Caenorhabditis elegans: one gene and its partner. The protein of the gene in region 2 purifies or fractionates together with the protein of the main gene of each other region. This does not show direct contact. Each region holds a gene or a part of one and is shown on either strand. Other genes may lie near its edges.

Region 1 (3,758 bases), on a different chromosome or scaffold from region 2:
ATATGCTTCACAATATCCAATGGTGCAGCCATTGTCTTCATCAACGCATTGTCTGCAATTCTTTTCAGTTCAGAGTTGAATCTTTTGAATACATCCTCAAACAGCAACGAAAGCAATGATCCAGCGAGCTCCAAACGTTTATTTCCGTAGAAATCCCGATCATCAAGCCCATTTTCTCCGAGTTCCGTTTGAATCAGTCGTCTTGTCATTAATCCCAAATAAATCGCCTTCATTTTGAAATTTCCATCTGGGCAAGCAATATGTGTGATCATTGAATTGGACAGAAAATCGACTGCTTCGTGTTCTTTCGGTGGAGTCAAGACGCTCACTGAAGTTCCTGGAAGTGATCCGAATGGTGTGAATTTACGAGCCTTGACTTTTGAGGTAACATATGCGAGTGCCTGCTGTTGGGTATAAACTCCGGCATTTATGGATTCTTCGAGAGTTTGAGCAAATGCTGAAACGTACTTCTCCTCGTGACCGATTGTACTCACAATGTCAAAATCTGATTCGACTCCCATCGCCTGGAAAATTGAAACTTTGAAAAGGAAGCGGTTTTTAGTTTTTGTTTTAACATAATGCTACACTTTTTTTAAAATTTTCCCTATTTTTTGTAATAATTTTCTTGAATTAAAAAAAGCGAACTCGAATTTTGGAAAAAAAAATCTGAAAAACTCCAGATTCGATAATAAATGTTTTTGAGGAATTTCGATTGAAAATATCGTAAAATGTTCAGTTTCTCACAATCAGAAAGAAAGAAAGCTTCATTATTTTTTATTCTAAAACATTTTTTGAGAATATTTTTTGCATCAAAATTTGGAAAAATATTTTTCGGAGAATGTTTTTGTATTGGATGTTTTTTTTTTTAAATAAAATATTTAGGAATGAATGCCGAACATTTTTTTTTTCAGTTGTCATCAAAATTCTCAAAATTTACCTTGAAAATGATGGAAACTGGTACATCATCGGTGAGCTGATTGTGGCGAACAGAATATTTACCCTTCTTCATAGTCACATATGTCTTACTTTTCCTCTCGGACGTCGACGAAAGTACTTCACACTGCAGTTCTTTACTTGAATTTCTTCCAACCATAATACGATTTTTGGAGAGTTGTTCTTGAATCAGGATAACCTTTTCACTTCCTTTGACCACAAAATAACCTCCTGGATCATATGGGCATTCTTGAACTCTTGCAAGCTCTTCTTCGGCAAGATCTCTGAGAATACATTTACTCGAACGAAGCATAATCGGCATTCGACCAATGATCAGATCCTTCTTGAATACTCTTTGATTACCACGTGTGTACTCAATATCCACTGAAATTGGCGCCGAGTAGGTCATATCTCGTAGTCGACATTCTTGAGGGGTAATCTTATCGTGAGTCATGTTGAGACCCTCCTCACTGCTGGGTTTTCCGATTCGAATATCCAAATATTTGAGATAAAAGTTTGGATTTGCATCGGAAGTGATCTTCTGATTGGAGAGCATGATACTTCGGATCTCCTCCTGCACGAAATGATCGAAACTGACGAGATGCTGTTTGACGAGTCCTCGAACTTTCAAAAACGCGGGAACGAGAAGCCATTTGTCCTCGAGTGGCATGCATTTCTGATCCTTGCCGCACTCGGATTTTATGCGAGCGCGGCCGTTCACTTGGCCAATTGTCATCTGAAAATTGGTATTGAAAATCTGAAATTCTAGAATAAAAATTATTTGAAAAAGAGGTACAAAAACAGAAAATAACAGTTTGCAATAGAAATCTGGAAATAAAATTCAAAAACAAAAAAAAACTTTATATTCATACGGCGAATAGCTGAAAAAGGCACGGAAATTATTTGTACACCCGGAAAAATTAAATTATAGCTAGACATTTTTCTAAAAATAAATACATAAGGGGTTCCTATTAAAATGGTAAAAATTATGGGGGAAAATCAACATTTTGGGTGAAAAGATAGGAAAACGAGGAAATCCGATAAAAATTATGGGTTTCCCTGATTTTTTAGCTTTCCATTAAAAATTCAATTTTCCGCTAATTCTGGCCTCTACAATTTTAAATCAGAATTATTTGGCAATGGCGAGAAATAGTTATCGACGACAGAATCCTTCACATCAGCCAACGTCGCTGGATTCCACTTTGGCTTGCGATCCTTGTCAACGAGAACTGAAAAATGAGTCAAATTTTCAATGAAACCCTACAAAATCTCTGCTCACTGGCTCGGCACCCTTCATGGAAATCCTTATCGGCGAGGAATCGTTGAGTGAGACGATACTCCATTGTGAAGATCTTTGCATAGCTCATCTTGCTTCCTTCGGTGATTTGTCGGTGAGTTACTTTCAGGGAAGTTGGGCTCATTTTTCCTAGAGTGGCTGCTTGCTTCTTTGCCCAGTCGGATCCGTCTTTTTCGAGGCTTGCGAGGATTTCTTCGACGCTTCTGAAAAATCAATTATTTTATATATCTTAGGCAAATGTAATTTTTTGTGTGCTATCGAATCCTCAAAACTGGCCCTTTCCTAGTTTTTGCTTAAAACTAATATTATCTGAGAAACAATAATAAATCAATTCGATGAAATGCTACTTTTTAATTTGTTCCAACTCAAATACACGTGATCTTGGTGACAAAATATCTTACTTTGCTTTGAAGGAATCTCTAATTTGAGCCAAATTCTTGGACAGACTGAATTCTGGAATCTTCTTTGGCTCGAACGATCTGATGACTTCATCGACAGAGTTCTCTGTCACATCCTTAATATTCACAAGTTCCTTTTCCAATTTCGCAAGTTCCGAAGACTCCACAAAATGAGTGGCAAGACCAGCATGGAAAGCGTCAGCACCTAGAAGACGATATCCAGTGAGTGCCAAGTACATTCCGAGGTTTCCCTTGAGCCTTGAAAGGAAATAGGATCCACCGACGTCTGGGAAGAGTCCAAGTGCGGTTTCTGGCATTGCTAGCATTGTTTTCTCAGTGGCAACTCGGAAACGTCCATTTACAGAAAGACCACAACCCTGAAACAAGTTTTTTAAAAAATTGAAAAGAAAATAGTTGCAGATAACTTACTCCTCCCATCACAATTCCATCAATCAGACAAACGTATTGCTTATTCAAAGTTCCAATTAAATGATTTAAAATGTACTCCTCGCGGAAGAAATCCTTGTGCATTGTGCACTCTTTTCCACTCTCCGAATCTTTGAAAGATCGCACAACGGCAAGAACATCTCCTCCAGCACAGAACGCCTTATCACCGGATCCTTTCAAAATGACAAGATCCACATCGGAAGATGAATTCCAGGCTTGAAGTTTGGGATAAAACTCTCGTACCATTTCGAGGTTCAACGCGTTTAGCGCTTTAGGCCTATTCAATGTAACCACCTTCTTCGATCCGTGTGTGTCGACAAGGATTTCCGACTTGGCGGCGGCGCTCACGGAGAACGACATCTTCTGGCAGACTTCCTGGAAATTTCTGAGTTTAGAACAGAAAATTTGATAGAAAAATAAAATGTTAGTCAAAATTTGTGAAAAATGAAACCTTCGAATGAAGTCCGCGGAAGAGTGCGGGCAAGTTTCGGACAGTGGCAGCCATGTCTCTGAAAATTGGCTTAATAAAATGAAGAATAGTTTACGAAAACGAGAAAAGTGGTCTTGTTCCGCGAGGTTATAAAGGGAAAACATCACTGATCACAAAAAGAAGCTTGCACTTTGAGCACAAAACAAGAAAATAGGGAAATTTGAGGAATAGACTAATCAATCAATAATTTAAC
Region 2 (3,127 bases):
TCATCGATGCCAGATGAACGTCTTCTTGCTCGTCGAGCAGACGTTTTATTCGAAGCAGGAGATTCTGAGCAGTTTGTAAGGATCACGAGAATGATGCTGGCTCCCCACTTCTACAAAGTCTATATTTCTCCAGATATTTTGAAGAAACGACGGGTTACCAAAGGAAAAACGACTAGTAAGTGAAATAACATTTTAATTGTCTTCAATACGAATTTCCAGCACCTGCTCTCAGTAATACTTTGAAAACTTGTGCTTTTGGAGTTGTTAAACATACAAATTGGGAACGCCTTGTCAAAAGGCTGGGAGCAACTGTAGAAGCCAATGGGACTTTTCAAACATCGCTTTCGGGAACAGATGTAATCATTATTCGAGCATACATTTGATTGTGTAAATTTTTAATTTTCAGATACATGACTACTGTTTGAAGTTAATCGAATGTTTAAATAAAATGGAGAAACATCAAGACGCACTCATTGTCTGTTGTTATGCATTTTTACATCCAACTCTTTTCAAAGCCGACAAGTGAGCTAATTTGTTCAAAATTTTCCACACATTACAAAATTTTCAGAATCTCCACTTTCCAGAATTTAGTATATTTTTGTGCAATCAAAGCAAGATGTTGGAATTTGGCATTTGAATATGTTAGATTCTTTCACACTTTTTCTTTGGTAACAATTTGTATCTTATTGGACGCATTTAAGTAATTTAAATTTCCAGGCAGTCAGCGATCCTCAAAATGGCTCATTCTCTGACGTTCTCCAAAAACGCCTTTTCAATGCAATGAACTACGTATTCGTCAACTCTCAGAATGTCTGCTACCATCGATTTATCATGAGAGCACTCGTCAAAGCTAAAGATAATCATGCTCTTCAAGCGATTTCAGGCAATAATTCACTTATCACGGGAACATACCGACATGCAATGGGAGAGTATCTTCGAGTATGGGTAGCCAATAAACGAAATCCACTCATCTGTATGCTGCTTGCTCTCACTTTCACTCATATGTCTTGTAAGAAGGATCTCTCAAGTAGACACCTCATCGGAATCCGAGGAATTGCTTTTATGAAGAAGTATTCAAAAGCACGGGCTTGCCAACAAGAAGTCTTTTATAACATTGCCAGAATGTTCCATCAAATGTCGATTCTCCCTCTCGCCAAACATTTTTATGATAAAGTATTGGAGGTTGATCCGCCGTGTGTGTTTGATTTTGATGAAGATGGCAATGAGGTTATTATTCCAGCAATGAAGTAAGACAATTTTAAAAATAAATTAGAAATTTCTGTCTGTAGAAATACTATTAAAATTTCAGATATGACCTGAGAAAGATGGCTGCTCACAACCTGGCTTTAATCTACCGAACATCAGGAAACAATTTCGCCGCTAGGAAAATTTATGAAAAATATCTTGTTGTTTGATTTTTTGTTGAAGAATAATTTTTGTTAATCTATCCAATGTCTGACATTGTGTGGTCTAATTTATAAGTAGCAATCCCATCGTACTTTTTTAAACAATTACTTATAAATTTTCTTTTTTATTATTTTTATTTCATTATATTTGGTTCTGAGAATATAGTTCAAGCTTCCATTCAATATCTGCTGATACTGATGCCGTATAAAAGGAAAATGTTTAATATTTACAGTATGTTCATTCTTTCTCTACTGCACGATACGGTGGCTATTCAGCCTCATCAATTGAGCTCTGATCAGCAAATTGTTATCAAAAAACGGCTCAATGAACGTCTCGCCAACAAAATTATTCCGGATCTTGGTCTCTGTATTTGTGTCTATGATATAAATGAAATTGGTGATTCGTACATTTTACCCGGCGAAGGAGATTGTAGAGCGAGAGTTAAGGTAATAAATCAATGTACAGTCGTATTTGAGAAATGAAATAAATCTTCAGTTCCGTATGATCGTTTTTCGGCCATTTGTCGATGAAGTTATTGAGGCCAAAGTGATTGGTTCATCACGACAAGGTCTTTGTCTAACAATTCAATTCTTCGAAGACATTTTTGTACCGGCGGAAAAGCTTCCAGAACCTCATGTTTTCGAAGAAGAAGGGCAAGTTTGGTATTGGGAATATGCACAGGAAGATGGAGAACCACCAGCAAAACTGTATATGGATCCAGGGAAGATTGTGAGATTCCGAGTGACGGAAATCATTTTCAAGTGAGACATTTTGTATTTCATCGAAATTAAAATATTGATTTGTTTGCAGAGATCTCAAACCAGAGTTAACACACGAAGAGAGAAAAACAGAGAAATCTATGGAAATCAAAGGTACGATGGCTAGTACTGGATTGGGATGTATTGGATGGTGGGCAGCAGAAGATGAAGATGATGAAGCGGTTGAAGACGAGCAAGATGAACAAGAAGAAGTTATACAGCCCAAAGAAGAAATTAGACAGCCTCAAGAAGAAGTTAGACAGCCTGTTAAAATTAAAGAAGAGCCAGTTTAATCAAATTTTAATTGATTATAACGGGTACACTGTTTTTACTTTTTGTTATTGTTGAATAAGTTGTTATTTTTTCGTCTTGCAAAATAAATATAAAGATAGCTTGCAAAGATCGATTATCCAATCATTATGTTTGTCTCATGATTTATACAAGTACTTCCAAAGGCGGCCTGATATTTTAATTTCAGAATGGTTTCAGAAACATGAGCGAAAAAACTCGTAACCTTATGCTTAAAAGCTCAGCTGCGCCCACCAGTAGTCAACAGTACCATTCGAACAACGTCCCACTGCCAGTCTTCCGTGGAACCAGCTTGATATCGCAACTCGAAACACAAAAATATCCGACATCCTTCACAGCGTGCTCTTCTGATTTTGACAATGTAATCATTCCATCTTGTCCAAGCATTCCGATGCCGACTCAATCCTCATCGAGTACGGATACGGCCATGGATTCTTCTACTTGAGTTTTAATAACTATCAAGTGCTTCTAAAAACATCTCTGACACCATTTTCTATTTTCAAATGTGAATAAATAATTTAATCAAGCATTTCTTCCATATTTTGCCCAAAGTTCATTTCACGGTAGCCTACCGTAAATCGACATATCGAGTATGCGCCAAGAAAGAGAAATGCGCCAGCAATGGTTGTTGACACGCATCGTAACTTTATGTC

The links.
Region 1: the proteins of rpc-25 (region 2) and rpc-2 fractionate together in Caenorhabditis elegans (co-fractionation; one large-scale study listed by BioGRID). This does not show direct contact.

What each region holds. Positions count from the first base shown.
Region 1 is NC_003281.10:5,555,276-5,559,033, reverse strand, and holds the start of rpc-2 (DNA-directed RNA polymerase subunit beta), read right to left. Parts: upstream 1,670-3,758; coding exon 938-1,669; intron 525-937; coding exon 1-524. Other genes in the region: hach-1 (3-hydroxyisobutyryl-CoA hydrolase, mitochondrial), read right to left, coding at 2,044-2,162, 2,213-2,433, 2,632-3,005, 3,058-3,450, 3,527-3,580.
Region 2 is NC_003283.11:10,205,115-10,208,241, reverse strand, and holds rpc-25 (DNA-directed RNA polymerase III subunit RPC8), read left to right. Parts: upstream 1-1,639; 5' UTR 1,640-1,640; coding exon 1,641-1,853; intron 1,854-1,902; coding exon 1,903-2,168; intron 2,169-2,217; coding exon 2,218-2,458; 3' UTR 2,459-2,562; downstream 2,563-3,127. Other genes in the region: tftc-3 (TPR_REGION domain-containing protein), read left to right, coding at 1-175, 220-356, 407-522, 569-668, 718-1,247, 1,310-1,415; ZK856.16 (Ovule protein), read left to right, coding at 2,659-2,919.